Caenorhabditis elegans: one gene and its partner. The protein of the gene in region 1 interacts with the protein of each later gene in a biochemical or structural test. Each region holds a gene or a part of one and is shown on either strand. Other genes may lie near its edges. The genes, in order: kin-3 and cgh-1.

Region 1 (8,178 bases):
TCCCATGGATGAACAACGATCACTGGTTCGAATCCAGTTTCAGACATTTTCTTATATCGTTCATCGTTCTGCAATTTATTTGGGTTTTCTGTTGTCCAATCAGTTTAAATGAATAATTTAAATATACCTGAGAATATCGATCTTTGAAAAGTTCATCCAAGCTTGTACTTTCTGTCATATTCCTTTTATAAAGCTGAAAATAATAAAATTTCGGAAATTCCAATTAATTGAAGAGCGTTCGAAAAAGATTATCAGTAGAGCGCACTTGCTTTTTAAGCGGTGCGTCATTTTTTTGCTGATTTTATCGTGTTTCCTTTAAAATATTCAATTTAATTTAATTGCAATCTCAATTTACATAAAATTATGTTCTTAATGATTATTCCTAAATGTATCACATATTTTATCTCTGAAAAAATCAATAATTTCAGTAAAATATGGGTCTCTTCTCGCATCTCCTGACGATGGGGCTTGGAGCATACGCCGGAGCGTACTTTGCACAGAATTATGAGGTTATCTTTTATTTTGATTGATTATTGATAATTTATTCAACTGTTTTCAGTTACAAAAGCTTCCATCGGCCAGCGAGATGATGAAGAATGTGGAAGACTATCTGAAGCAATACAAAAAGGATCCATGACACCACTCCCATAATCAATCAATATCTAGAATCTAATCATGAATAAATTTATATTTGCCACAAAAAGTTTATTTTCACATCGGTCTGGATATACAGGAAAATACGTGATGAAAAATGAGAGATGGAATAAATTAGAATTACGCAGCGGGGAAGAAGAAGTTGGAGACTGAAAATCATTCACTTGGGGTGGCTGGATGGTGATTCAATAATAAATAGGATAAAATACAATAAAACAACTTCACAGGGACATTTATTTCTTCTCCTTGTCATCATCCTTCTCCGCATTTGCAGCAGGAAGATCGTCCACAATTTGCTGCAAAAGTTCTGGGTTGTTCATCAAATCATCAAGATTGTCTCCTCCAACTGCTGGAGCTCCATCCACATCCATTTGTTCGTGTTGTACTTGTGGCTGCTCAGCCGGAGCATTTTCCTGCATTGAAAGACGAAGAGCCCATTCCAATTGTTGCTCTTCAGTCATCGCTCCCATGTCCATTTCTTCCAATGGAACAGCAGCAGCCGCAGCAGCAACTTCGGCATCAGCTCCAGAATCCGCGGCACCTCCATTTGCAGCAGCGGCGGCGGCTTGACGAGCTCGTTCCTCTTCCATTGAGACACGAAGAGCCTAAAAAGAATAATAAAATGATTTTCCAACGCAACCAAAAAATAATTTCCTACTAAAGCCAAATCTGGATCATTTTCAACATCCATTCCGAATGCATTATCCATTCCGTTTCCACCTCCACCGAATGCAGCTTGCCCATCTTCATTTTTGCATACACTTGACTGCAACAACGCGTCTGTGAGGGAAGATCCTTGTGGAACAACGATCAAGGATGAGCCGCTGCCTTCTTTTCCGTTCAATGTGTCCACGAATGTTGAGAATTTCTCATGTCCATCGGATTCATTTTCACCGAACATGATGACGTCGCACAGAACCTTCTCTTTCTTCATTTTCTTTGCAATCTTCACGAGCTCATTCATTTCAATTTCCTCGAGAGGTGATCCGATGAAGAGAACAACGCGCATCTTATGATTACGGTTTTGACGATGTTTCAGAGCAAGATGAGCAATCTTGATACCGGCGATAAAGTTGCATTTTCCGAATGGCTCAATGGAATGATTCTTCATCATCAAACGTCCTTGTTCTGTGGACAGACTTGACAATACTTGAACACTGCTGAAAAGGAAAACATTGAAAAATTTCATGTGTTACCGGAAATCAGTGATTTTTGCGCCAAAAAACGGTACTGGGTCTCGACAGGACATTTTTCGCTAAATACAAACGGATGTGCACCTTTAAAGAATACTGTAACTTCAAACGTTGTTACTGAATTTTCATCGATTTTCCAATGAAAATTCTAGAACGGCGAAAGTTTGAAACTACCGTACTCCTCAAAGGGGCACACCTTTTTGCATTTAACAAAATATCTTCGTGTCGAGACCAGGTACCGTCATTTTAGCGCAAAAAAACGTTCGAGTTTGAGTAATATACGAACTTTGCCATTGACAGAATTCCAACAGCATTCTCCGGATTGGCACGCAACTTGCATTGTGTAACAAGATTTACTGCATCCTGTTGAGATTGGAGCCGAGTTGGTTGGAAATCTCCGTTGCGCATGTATTCCGAATTGTCGACACTGAAAAGTAAATAATATTGCCATTGTTCGTATTATTCAAGAAAAACTCACCAAATCATAGTACTTTCTTGAACCATTTTGGAAATGTGTTGAGCACCTTTGTATGAACTCTGTAGAATGTGAGAAATAAAATTAAATTTAAAACAGTTTGACGAATAAATGAAGGAAGATATTAAACGGTGATTAAACCGTGAGCAAATAAATTAAAAATTATTTGAAGAATCAAATACAAATAAAATCGATTTTTTTCAAACAACAAAACAAGAATAACAAAAATAAAGAATTGAAACACATTAAATCTAGTCTGATTGATTATTAGAATTCTAATGTGGAGTTGTTGGTGCATGCTCTTTCATGTGCTCGAAAATTGGGAAATCTTCCGTGAAATCGTTATTTTTACTGTACAATGGGAACTCTTTTCGGATGGAATATCGAGCCAATTCCTCGTCACGTGGTGTTGTCAGTGTAGGAGAAATCATCTGAAAAAGGGAAATTCAATAATTTTCTACAACTTTTCAATCTTTACCTGTTTGGATTCATCTACTGAAATATGTGTAATCCTTCCTAACATAGGAACAATGTATTGTTGATTTACAACAACGTAGAATCGGAATAGTTTTGCTTCGATATCAAAATTCGGGCCAGAAATTGGTTTAGCGGCGAGGAAAATTGTATTTTCAGCAACGAAAACTCCCATTTGACGAAGTGAGCTTTTTACAAGATTCCTATCAATCGTCCATTGATTTTCCATATTAACTTTGATTGGAATGACCATTTTTTGCAAATCTCGTCCAACCACTTTGAGCTCATATGGAATTCTGATTCGAGAAGCAAGTTCTTCAGCCATTCGCTGAAATTATTATTTGATTGAAAAATATAAATTAACATTAAAACCCACTGTTTTCATATCTGAATAGTACTTTAAATCAAACGGCGACGCGTAGACGGCTTTTTTAGATAATAGTAAATCCTTTCGGGCCAAAGTCCGATCCACACTAACCACATCGAACTGATGGCCAATTCCTGTAAAAATGAATTTTTTACATTTGCTTTCTTTTATTTTAAAAAACTACCTTCAACATCTTGAAGTAAAATCACATTAATCGGACCAGCGGATTTTTGTGTTTCGAACTCAACAACTTCGTATTTCTGGTAATCGTGGAAATCATTGGGATTTTTCTGTACTCCGCCGGGCGGTGTGACTTCTGGTTGGAATACTCGGCGCAATACCCATGTGTTCTGAAGAAAAACATAAAATAACTTATTAATTGCTTCAGAACTTACTCGGCTTGCCTGGCGATTAATATGTTGCACAAATCGATGAAGCTGTGAAGCTGAAAGCATAATTACCTGAAAATATCAATTTTAATTAAGTGTTTCGCTGAAAATAAAGTGATTTCATTCTAAAATACAGAAATAGATGAGAAAAGAAAATGCGCGCCGTTGTCGATGATGACAAATTTAAAGGCACACCGACTTTCGCAGCGGGAATATCTCACCACGCACGAGTTCACATTTGGTTTTTTCTCTGCGCTCTCTCGCATTTGCGTACTCTTTTCATGTTCTGGCATGTATTTTCAAAATTATTCGGGTTTTATCAGTTTTCCCGAGATTTTACTATTTCTACTGAAAATTTCGTTCTAATAATTCAATTATAACAGCCGTTTTGTCAAAACTTGCTCAAAAATAACGTGTTACTTGTTTCAGATCGTTATTCTTGGGAAATGCCTCCGATTCCTAGCCGGGCGAGGGTCTACGCCGAGGTGAGCAAGTTTGTATAGCCAGGAGTTAATTATTGAACAGAATATATTGCTCATACATAACTCACAATGACGGAATTAACGTTATCCGTTTAGTTGTGGAATACTGTGAAACACTGTACGCCACATTTGTTAGATTTTATAAATGTTCATAGGAATTTATAGTCTCGTAAAGAAAAACTATTTGTAAAAGTCACTAAATTATGTTTTTATGAGTTTATATATTATAAATCACAATTGTTTCAGGTGAATCCGTCGAGACCACGCGAGTACTGGGACTATGAGGCTCACATGATCGAATGGGGACAAATCGATGATTATCAGCTGGTACGCAAGTTGGGACGTGGAAAATATTCGGAGGTTTTTGAAGGATTCAAGATGAGCACTGACGAGAAAGTTGTTGTCAAGATTCTCAAGGTAAGTTTTACAAAAATAATTGTAATAAAGCTTTCAAAATGTAATTTGTTTGTTTTCAGCCAGTCAAAAAGAAGAAGATCAAGCGTGAGATTAAAATTTTGGAGAATCTTCGTGGCGGGACAAACATCATCACCCTCCTCGACGTCGTCAAGGATCCTATTTCGAGAACTCCGGCTCTTATTTTCGAGTTGGTTTACTATTTGAAGATTTTTAGAATTAATAATTTCTATTTGAAGGCATGTTAACAATTCGGACTTCAAGCAATTGTATCAAACCCTCAGTGACTATGATATCCGTTACTACCTCTACGAGCTCTTGAAGGTACTTTTTTCAGCTGTCCATTAATTTTTGAATTCATAACGTTTCAATTTATTCTCCAGGCTCTCGACTTCTGCCATTCTCAAGGAATTATGCACAGAGATGTTAAGCCGCACAATGTGATGATTGACGCCGAAAAACGGGAACTTCGATTAATAGATTGGGGATTAGCCGAATTCTATCATCCAAGACAGGACTATAATGTTCGTGTTGCTTCTAGATATTTCAAGGGACCCGAGCTTCTTGTCGATTATCAATGTTACGATTATTCGTTGGATATGTGGAGTTTGGGATGCATGTTGGCTAGTATGATCTTCAGGAAGGAACCATTCTTCCACGGCCATGATAACTACGATCAGGTAAGCACTTTAAGCTGAAGTAGCAAAGAACCGCAAATCCACAAATTTCATTAAAATCCAATATTGGAATATAGAAAACATTTGATTTATCTGATTATGGCTTTTATTTCAGTGAGAACAATGGGGAAAAACGCTTAAAAAATTACCGGAAAGTTTAAAATTTCCGAAAAAAACCGAAAATTTTCCAATTTTGAGCATTTTTCAATTGTTCCAGCTGCAAAAAACTATTTTCAGATAAAGAAATTATTTTTTTGAATTCCATAGCTAAAATTTTACTGATAAGTTTGGCTTATTCCGTAGAATTTCTTGCCGGCGATTGATTCGCACCCCTGAGCTGAAATTTAAATGAATAAATAATATTGTCAGGTATTTATTAAATATTCATCAATAATTTTTATGATTTTTAATATTTTATAAATTCACGAAATCTGATTTTCTTATAAAAAGTTTTTTGCAGCTAGTCCGCATTGCAAAGGTATTGGGAACTGATGAGCTTTACGAGTACATTGCGAGATATCACATTGATCTCGATCCACGCTTCAACGATATTCTCGGGCGACACTCAAGAAAACGCTGGGAAAGGTATATTTTGATCGAAGCGAAGTTTCATGTTTTTCTTAAAATTCATTTGTTGTAGATTTATCCACGCTGAAAATCAACATCTTGTCACCCCAGAGGCTCTTGATTTCCTTGATAAACTTCTTCGCTACGATCACGCGGTAAGAATCGGAAAAAAGAGAAATTACACCAAATTAGTTACTGAAAACCAGTTTTAACAAGAACACAGAGAAATAAAAACAATTTTCACTTGTTTTATTGAAAAAAAAGACATTTGATACTCGAAACTAACTATAAATACTTTTATTTGTTAAATTAATTTATTTCCAGAACTTTTAATAAATTTCACCATATTCAGGAACGCCTAACTGCTCAAGAGGCCATGGGTCACGAATACTTCCGCCCAGTTGTTGAAGCACATGCTCGTGCCAATGGAACTGAACAAGCTGACGGACAGGGTGCATCGAATTCCGCTTCTTCTCAATCCTCCGATGCCAAAATTGACGGCGCTTAAAATTTCTTTCTATTTTTTTTTTAATTTTCCTGTTGACTATTTCCTTTTTTATTAATTTCCACACCACTCCTCTCCATCATTATTCCTTTGCTCTAAAAATTGGCTAAGATATTAAATCTTCCCCGCTTCTCCGAAAATTTCCCTCTACGTACCACAAAAGTGCCTAATCTTTTCGTGAGAAACGTTCTTTGCAAATTCTATTTTTAGGATTTTTTTGTGTAATTCATGCCTCTGAAATTCCGTTTCAATTTTAAATCTTTTTTGTCCCATTTCATATTGTTCTCCTTCTTCTCCCCTTTCCTCTTCCTCAAACAACCACAATCATCATTTTTATAAATCGAATCACAGTTCGTGAGAAAAAAAACTGTTACTTGTAATCAATATTGTCTTTGGTTTGAAAAACCTACTATTGTTCCTATGTTGAGTTGTGAACTATGTTCACTTTTAGAGTTTTAGATTTAAAATGCTCAACGGACGAGTGCTCCTTCGATCGATTGCTCGCCGGACAATGGCATCGAAAATTGAGCCAGGATCTCCGCAGCCGATTTATTTGGATGTTCAGGCTACCGCGCCAATGGTAATTAAATGGAAATAATAAAGCATGATTAAAAATAATATAAAAAACTTGTATCTGGAAAAAATTAACGAAACTTTTCAGATACAATTTAGATTTCGAATGAGTTTTTTTCTAACCTAGGCACAGTTTAAGCTAGTAGGCATTCTAAAATTGCGGCTTATGGCCTAAAAAGGGCCTAAGCGAACAAAACCAGCAATAAATTATGATAATTATATGAAAACTGATTTACGACAGCGCTGCGACACTGAAAATATGACATTTTACAATACTTTGAACCCATATAATATTTTTTTTTTTATTTTTCATAAATTTTCAGAACATTTCATTGCGAAATTCAGTAGTTTGAGACCATTTTTGGTATTTAAAAAACCAATTTCTCAGTTTTCGGTTCTCTAAATGTGACTAAATTATTTTATTTCCAATTTAAGTGAAATCGTAGCTTAAGAAACTAGGAAAAAAATGTGCTGGGATTTTTTTTGAAATTCCAAATTTTAATATTTTACAGGATCCTCGAGTAGTCGACGCAATGCTTCCCTATATGATCAATGATTTCGGAAATCCTCATTCAAGAACTCATTCATACGGATGGAAAGCTGAAGAAGGCGTTGAACAAGCGAGAGAACATGTTGCAAATCTTATAAAGGTTTTTTTTTCTGAGAGTTTTATTCAATTTCCTTGTATTTTCAGGCAGATCCTCGTGACATCATCTTCACTTCTGGAGCCACTGAATCAAATAATTTGGCGATTAAAGGAGTTGCAAAGTTTCGAAAACAATCTGGAAAGAATCATATTATCACGCTGCAAACTGTAAGATTGCTATTATTAGTCCGCAGAAAATTCGCTTAAAACGGATTTCGCCACCAAACACCTAACGAGACCCATGGTTTGGAGGCGGAGCGCGTTTTCACATAGATTTCCAAAAGCGCATTTTTTGCGTCTCCATAATAATGAAATTAAAAGAAAAACGTTTATTTTCCAGGAGCACAAATGCGTTCTCGACTCGTGTCGATATTTGGAAAATGAAGGATTTAAAGTGACATATTTACCAGTTGATAAGGGAGGAATGGTTGATATGGAGGTACTTTTTTCAGTTAGAAAATATAGGAAATATCTGATATTTCAGCAACTTACTCAATCGATTACCGCGGAAACATGTCTTGTGTCTATTATGTTTGTCAATAATGAAATTGGAGTTATGCAGCCGATCAAGCAAATTGGTTTGTTTTTTTTTTCAAATCAGAGAAATACCCCAAAAAAGAAGCTAAATTTAACTAAAATATCTAAGTTTTTCAGTTTTGACTCTCTCATCGCAGAATTCAGTATTTTAAGTATTTAAAAGAAATTTAACGAAAAAAATAAAAAATTTCAGGTGAACTATGCCGTTCAAAAGGTGTATACTTT
Region 2 (7,830 bases), on another chromosome or scaffold:
ATGTTTAAATGGGGCAAAAGTCTAAGCTGAAAGTTGAAGCGATTTTGCTATTCAAACTTCCAGTTTTGCGTACGTTATCAGAGCGACCCTTTATTATTTGAGTTGTGGCGACCCATTTTAATCATATGTTTCCAAAAAAGTTTTTTAACTTTTATTCCTGCAAAATTTTAAACTAAAAATCCACAAAGAAATCACCGAGTACGGTCAAATCAGATCAAAAGAGAAAGAAATATGCAGACAACATACGTATAATAAAATTTGGATTTTCTGATACATTTTTGAATCGTTTGGAAATCGTGTTAGAACCCTACAGATTTTGAATTTACGGATATACCAAAATCTAAAGTTTTCCAAAAAACTTTTCCAAAAGTGAATAAAAACACAAAAACAAGAAGATACGAAGAACCCATGTTTGCAACGGAACTTGAAGGACTATAATTGGTGGGTTCGTTTTCTTACTGCCAGTACAAACAGTTGGTATGCCGAGTAATTATTAAACCAGAATTTCAGACATCTGTATTTTTTAACTTCTGTTCTATAGACATCCTAGGAAATTATATGAATTTAGTTTGTCTTTTTATCTTTTTATGGAAAAATGATAAACTTTTATTATTATTTCCAAAGATCAATTAAAAGCATAAACTATTTCAAAATGTATAATATCACTTCTAATAGTAATAGTTTTTAAGTAGTCTATAGTTTGTTTTTTTTCCTTGCGGTTACTAATGGTAAATGGAACATCGAAAAATGAGTAGACATTGAGAAAATGAGAAAAAAATCCAGTTTTTCATTATTCGAAAGGTTGACCCAATGGACCTAATGGCATTTCAACCTCTTCTTTGTCCAACTTTTTCACTTTTTACGCCCATTTTGCATTTTGCATGAATTCACAAATAATGTTGCAATTATTCAAAAAAAAATTTATGTTTCAAAACTACATAGGTTTTGACATTTTGCCAAGAGTGAAAATTAAATTTCTGAAAAATCTTGAACATTTTAAAGTATTTTATTTTAATTTGTAGCCTTTTTGATCAACTTTAAGTTTATTTCAAGAAAAAACTCCACTTTACTGTACCTTCAGAACTTTGACGAAAAGTTTTACAAAATAGGTATAGCTCCACGTTAAAGCTCTTTGTAACTCAAAAATCCGATCAAAAATTGTTTAGTGTAAAAAAGTGAATTTGAAATTTGAAAAGAATTTATTTAGAAATGTATCACACCGTCCACTTCTCCTTCATTTCAATTCAAAACCGTTTTTCATTCTTTTTTTGACACTTAAGTGGTCATCAACGCTGTTTAGAATATCAATACACTTTTTTGCGATATAAATGGTCAACAAAAAATAATGAGGGAAAATGAAAACAATTTTTTAAATAATAAAGTTAACAAATCCTTCTATATAAAATATAAAAACCTTTGAAGAATACTGTAATTTTTAAATTTCGTTGCTGCGGAATTAATTCCGGAATTTTCATCGATTTTTCATATTTACCATAGTTTTTCGATTAAAAATATTTATTTACTAAAATACTAATACGAAACAATTAAGACATTTAAATTTCAACAAATCGTGAAACTATGAAAAATCGATGAAAACTCCGCATCACCACAAGTTTGAAAGTACAGTAATCTTTCAAGGCGCACACCCGTTTACGTAAAACTCGCAACATTTCGCGTCTGGGCAATAAAACTTTGTTGTACTTCGCATTATTTTCCATTATAACATCATCAACGAAAAATGAAAGACTATTTCAATTTATTAATCGGGCGCGTTCGTCTGGAAAATTTTCTGAAAATGGTCATTTTGTACAATGCAGTAAATGTGAGTAATACGAGACTAACCTCGTGATTTATCGATGGAGTTGGTCAAAAAAGTTATATTTTTATAAACTTTTGTTATTTGATTAAAATTAAAAAAAAAGATGCCTAAACCGTATAAAAATCAGAGAAAAAAATAGTTTCGATGCCATCACTTGTCTCTCTGCGGATATCGCGCAAAGAATTCCAATCCAATTCAGACCGGTTCGAGCCGCCTGTCATCGACGGATACGGATTGTTAACATTTGCATAATATTACAAAAGGCGAGGATATACATATAGAAAAGCATATGAGAAAATGAAACTAAAAAGAATTTTCAAAGTCATTGCGGTCGGAATCCGAATACACACTAATAGATTAATGTAGACGTTCCGACCTCTCCCGTCACCGCAATATCAACTAATATTACTGTGCGCGGCGCGCATTACTGGTGCCGATACGGATGGGCAATCACCTCTCCGGATGACACATCCAAGAGAGAAACAGTAAATTGAATACCGACCTCAACCATTGCCGCTGGCTGACTGTCAACACATTCAACGCCTTCCGCTGCTGTTGCCAGGGAATACGAGAAACGAAAGTAAATCGTCGCATTTTGTTACTTTCATTTCACATGGTCTTTCACTCGGGAAATGCGCTAATGTGCTTTAATGTATCTCTTGTGGGTTTTCGGTTTTTCTCAAGGCTTTCACTACTTTCCTCTTCATATGAAACTCTGAAAAGAAATAACAGAAGACGATGTTTCGATTCGGTCTTTTATTGTTAAAGATGGCAATCATCCAGAAGGAAGCTTGCACATCCTTTGTGAATCGAAAAATTGTGCAAATTTTTGGTGTCAACTTCTACAAATTATACAATAAACAAGAGGGAGGAGGCGGGAGAGAACAAATGGTTTTGGAATGGGGATGGGGGAAGAGCTGTAAGCGAGACACATGGCCAGCCGGAAGCCTTCCAAGACATTATAGTCTTTGAGCCATTTGACATGATAATAGTTGCAATAAATATCTATCAGATTAGGAGATGGACAAGTTGAACTGGAATGAGCACAAGAGCGGAATAAAACCCTACAGATGGGCAAGGGAAAACCGCAAGGATGGTGGTTTTAAATTTTGGATGCATTGGTATGGGGCATGAAGGGAGAATTGTGGGAAATGAGATAGGAAATTACAAGATTGATCAATGTGGTGCGGCTCAACAGAATAACTACAGAGCCGGCTACCCAGTATGATACACGTCAAAAAGAACCCGATGTGTATGAACAATGTCCTTACACTCCCAAATATATTTTGCAACGACACATTAATGTCGAAACAATTTACTTTGGGAGCATAAAGACCAACTTAAATGACTATGTAAAACACAACGACTTGAATGAGTTACAGTCCATGACTGCAAGTTGGAGGGTATGGGGAAACTAATGAAAAAGAAAAATTAGAATTTTACACCGCATATAAGTGGAACGGGTTGATGGGGTCCGGGAAGGTGGATGGGATACAAATAATGTGCGGGGATTTGAGAAAACAGGAAGGAAAGATGCTTATGCTTGAACAATATTAAATTTAGCACAAACTGTGCATTTAAAGGAAAATAGAGAACATACACAATCTGGACGAGATCACTAGAATGGAAAAAAAAAACGTAGGCGACCAGTGTGTTTTGGAGGTTTGGGGATATGAGAACTAGTGTTTAAGCAGTGGTCTCATCGGCGGCATCGACGAGCTGCTGGTCAGCGACATACAGCTTCGGGTCAACCGTTTTCGGGATGGGCTCAATGCGAGTACGAAGCTCCTGCTCGATACGGCGAAGGGTGTGACGGTCTTCGTAGGTGATAAGGTTGATTGCAACTCCGAGGTGACCGAAACGTCCAGAGCGACCGATTCTGTGAAGGTAAGTCTCGGCGTTTCTTGGGAAGTCAAAGTTGATGACAACATTGACAGCCTGGATATCGATACCTGAAAAATTACAATTATGCATGAACTACACTTTAAAATAAGAAAAATGGCGCTCAGATATCCGTTCTTCAATTATCTCTTCACATAACTTCAGAGTGTGTGTATGTGTTATCAATCCTCATCGCGCAAATTATTTAGTCAAACTTACCACGGGTGAGAAGATCGGAGCAAACCAAGTTTCTGCAGTTTCCTTGACGGAAGTCATGGAAGACACGGTTTCTGTGATTCTGAGCCATCTTGGAATGAATGTAGTAGCACGAGTAACCGATTTCCGTGATTTTCTTAGCGAGAAGCTCAACACGTTGAGTAGAGTTACAGAAGATGATCGACTGGTTGATTTGAAGTTTTCGGAACAACGTATTCAAACAGTGGACCTTTTGCTTCTCTTGAACAAAGGCATAGTATTGGGTGACACCAAGAAGAGTAAGCTCCTCCATGAGGTTGATCTCATACGGCTTGTGCATGTGCTTCTGCATGAACGAAGTGACGGTGTTAGGGAAAGTGGCAGAATAAAGCATAACTTGACGCTCCTTTGGGAGGAAGTTGATGAGGCGGTCGAGAATTCCCTGTAAACGAGAATTGTTATCTTATTCAAATGTTAATTTTTTTACCTGGAAGTCTTGACTAAGAAGTTTGTCAGCCTCGTCAAGAACAAGTGTTTTACAATGTTCCATTTTGGCGACTCCTTTCTCCATAAGATCGAGAATTCTTCCTGGGGTGGCGATGACCAAGTGAACCGTTCCGTTTAGACGCATGATATCATCACGGAGATCAGTTCCTCCGGTAGTGACCATAACTTTGAGCTGAATGTGTTTGGAGAGCTCCACGCAGATCTGTGAAGTTTGGAGAGCCAATTCACGAGTTGGGACAATGACCATGGCTTGAATAGCTTTGAGGGCTGGCTGGATCTTCTCGATAACAGGGATACAATAAGCTCCGGTTTTTCCTGTTCCGTTCTTAGCTCTTGCGAGAATATCTTGACCAGTGAGAGCGACTCCGATGGATGCTTCTTGAATAGGACTCGGTTTTTCCCATCCTTTCTCAAAAATCCCCATGAGAAGATCGCGTCCAAGGCAGAAATCCTCAAACTCGACTCCCTTCGTATCAGTGACATCCTGAAAAATGAAATGGTCACAAAGTCATATAGGCTTTGCAAACTCACAGCAGTTTTGAATCTTCTGTCTTTTGCTGGAAGATTGAGACCAGCCTTCCAGTTTTCGTCGCCATTGTTGGCAGGAACGATCTGTTGTTGCTCCGCTCCACTCATTTTCCGATGTCGTAGTAGGTTTGATTTCCTGATGAGATCTGTAAAATCGAGATTAAAGTTGAGAAGTTGTTAATGGTGTAAGTTGAGAAGTTGTTAATGAAGGAAGATAAGTTTTTAATGCGAAAAAATGATACCTATCGAGTTTACTACAATTTTGTTAGTCATGGAAAAATCATTCAAGCATTTTCAGAACAATTAGGAGGAACGCTAAATAACACTGAGATAATATTTATGCGAGACAACCGGTGTCTGTCTCGCGCTCGTATACACACGATCAATGACGGTTAGAAAAAGCAAGCGAGTGGTCGGCGGCGCATAGAGACGCACAGACACTCTTTGGGTTGCTGGAGTATCTAGCCAACAGGGTAGCCGATGTTTGACGACGTGGCAATTGACAAGAAACAATTTCAAAAGGTCAGAGAATCACGACAATTTTTTATTGATACCTTCCAGTTTTTAAGCGACTCTCCAAACAATAAACGCGAAAAAGTTTATATTTTACATTCGAAAGTTTGAAAGAACACTTTTTGTTATCGTTTTTTAAAACAGGTTTCTGAGCTACGAAACTGATAAAAATCTTCGGAAAACGACTGAATCTATCAAGAAAGTGTCGATAACAGATTGGAGCTGCCATCGTCGCCTAAAACTCTTAGAAATCTAGAGAAGAAACACAGAAACACGTGGAGAACAACGGCCAAAATGAAGGAAATGTGCGAAGAAACGAGAGTGTGGAGAGAAAAACTGTGAGAGCGACGGGACGAGTAGGCCAAGCTGCTGCGAGCGACGAGTGAGAGGCATTTCGCTGCGTACATTCAACACACAAAAGTTGAATACTCAGCCAACGCGCGAAACAAAATGGCGGTAATTCAAAATTAGATTTCAATGAAAAACTTTACGAAGATTTGATGCGAAATTTCTTGAGAATAATAATGAATTAAATATTAAAAAGAATATACCAGCGTCGATGAAAATTTATTAAAGGATAATTAGTTCTAAATGTAATGAGTAATGTGATTACTTTATCGTTTTTCGATTTCCTCATTTTTCTAATTCGAACTCCTCATATTCAACCAGAAATCTGTGATATGCGTCACATCTAGCTCCGTGATGGCAGTATACGATGAATATAAGAAACCGACACGGTTGGATAACACAATTGAAATACGCCAAATCCACAATAGGCAATATTTTCGAGCTGCCAACAAAATAAATTGTTCCGAAACAGGACACATCCACCACCATTTTTATAAACTGAAAATCTTAATTGAAAACAGGAGTCAAAAGAAACGTTACATTTGTGGTAATCGTAATAACATTGAGACGTTGGACTCCATTGTATGATATAAAATATATAACTATCAAAATGCTTGTTAGAAAAAATAACGAAAATTGAATGTAAACAAGTGACAGATACACGAACGACTCTGTCTTCATATCTGCAATTTTAGTTGTTATATTTTTCCACTTTTTATTTTCTTACAGAAATAAGCAGATCCAAGATAAACCGATTGGTACCAAGTTTGTAAAGCTTCTAGGCAAATCATGTTTATAGCAATAGGACTCCAAGATCCCTTAAAATTATTTATAAAGGCAGAAACATTACAGATAACAAACTTGATCGAGATTGAATAACGGCGGAGGAGATAGACTCATAATTCTTATATGCAAATTATTTAAAAATGGTTTGTTATTTTATTTATGAATTATATGATTTGAACGTTAAATGTTAATAATAATATGAAATTGCGTGTAACTCATGAATTGAAATTAATTACGTTATTATTTTGTTCTTTCTTTTTTCAAAAATAAAATGTTTCCTTACTTAAAAGTCGCGCCGAGATCCGAAAACACGCCAAAGTGGTTGCTGGCGCGTTTCATCATAATTGCTGACGCATTGTCAGTGCCTGGTCCATTTACTGGGAAAAATCTAACATTTTAAATTATTTCCCGGGAAATTTCCCCGCAATATGAGTATGGAATGGTCCAAAAAGAGAAAGAAAGTAAGTTTCCTTGTCAACTTCTAAGTGTCACAAGCTTTAATAATACCGATTTAAAAGTTTAGACATCTGACGATGAGGAGGCGAAGTTGAACGATGCTTTGTTGGAGTTCCAAGCAGACTTTGGACAATCTTCGTCTGTTTCTTCTCAGCCTAAAACTTTTCTGAGAGGAAATGTTGTCGAGGGAAATAAGATTTGTAAGAAAATCCATTTGAAAACTATATAAACTGAATTTTCAGCTGCTGGCGACGGTGGAATCTATGCACCAAAGTTTTCAATGAACATTCCGTCTAAAACTTCGAACGTTGGATCCAAAGATTTTGATGAAGCGAAAAAATTAGCAGCCGCGAAGGTAAAATTAATAAATTTCATGCGCTTAGTTCTTCACATTGTTTAAATTGGTAGAGATGTGTTCGTTTCTTAACGGATGTTTTTAGTGAAATAAGAAACACTATATTCAGGCTCGAAGGATGCTGGAAGACGTAGCACGAAGCAAAAAAATGACAGAAGTGCCGAAAGTTGTCGTGCCAACTACGAGGCCGTTTCAAAGACCCCCGAAGCCTGGCAGCTCGAAAGCGAAACAAGATAAGCCAAAGATCAGTCAAATGGAAATGTTTAAAATGGAATTGCAGAGGTATATTGCTAAAAAAGAATTTCGAAAGAATTATATCCGTAAAATTTCAGAGTTCAAGAAGATCGAGAAAAACGGAAAGATTTACGACATCATCTGGAAAAAGTTGGAATGGATCAAGCTGTAGTAGAGAGATTGGCTCCAACAGTTGAAAGAGGATTCC

What was found.
Region 2: of the proteins of kin-3 (region 1) and cgh-1, one has a biochemical effect on the other in vitro, tested with the Caenorhabditis elegans proteins (one study listed by BioGRID).

What each region holds. Positions count from the first base shown.
Region 1 is NC_003279.8:10,730,041-10,738,218, forward strand, and holds kin-3 (Casein kinase II subunit alpha), read left to right. Parts: upstream 1-3,981; 5' UTR 3,982-3,998; coding exon 3,999-4,037; intron 4,038-4,102; exon of another isoform or gene 4,103-4,216; intron 4,217-4,280; coding exon 4,281-4,451; intron 4,452-4,510; coding exon 4,511-4,638; intron 4,639-4,687; coding exon 4,688-4,772; intron 4,773-4,831; coding exon 4,832-5,128; intron 5,129-5,585; coding exon 5,586-5,710; intron 5,711-5,765; coding exon 5,766-5,847; intron 5,848-6,044; coding exon 6,045-6,200; 3' UTR 6,201-6,575; downstream 6,576-8,178. Other genes in the region: B0205.8 (TFG domain-containing protein), read right to left, coding at 1-68, 128-178; B0205.12 (YtxH domain-containing protein), read left to right, coding at 435-509, 560-637; rpn-10 (26S proteasome non-ATPase regulatory subunit 4), read right to left, coding at 888-1,259, 1,313-1,814, 2,134-2,274, 2,326-2,351; mrpl-9 (Large ribosomal subunit protein bL9m), read right to left, coding at 2,598-2,753, 2,801-3,124, 3,173-3,297, 3,348-3,513, 3,559-3,618; nfs-1 (cysteine desulfurase), read left to right, coding at 6,709-6,777, 7,283-7,420, 7,465-7,584, 7,757-7,855, 7,901-7,994, 8,147-8,178. UniProt on the Caenorhabditis elegans protein: Casein kinases are operationally defined by their preferential utilization of acidic proteins such as caseins as substrates. The alpha chain contains the catalytic site. May participate in Wnt signaling.
Region 2 is NC_003281.10:7,492,757-7,500,586, forward strand, and holds cgh-1 (ATP-dependent RNA helicase cgh-1), read right to left. Parts: upstream 5,077-7,830; 5' UTR 5,039-5,076; coding exon 4,934-5,038; intron 4,887-4,933; coding exon 4,383-4,886; intron 4,338-4,382; coding exon 3,920-4,337; intron 3,899-3,919; exon of another isoform or gene 3,821-3,898; intron 3,772-3,820; coding exon 3,506-3,771; 3' UTR 2,564-3,505; downstream 1-2,563. Other genes in the region: C07H6.9 (Serpentine Receptor, class Z), read right to left, coding at 6,077-6,289, 6,332-6,474, 6,519-6,609, 6,653-6,691; sap-140 (U2 snRNP-associated SURP motif-containing protein), read left to right, coding at 7,006-7,038, 7,101-7,233, 7,276-7,388, 7,498-7,670, 7,721-7,830. UniProt on the Caenorhabditis elegans protein: Probable RNA helicase required for oocyte and sperm function. Also required to prevent the physiological germline apoptosis mechanism killing essentially all developing oocytes.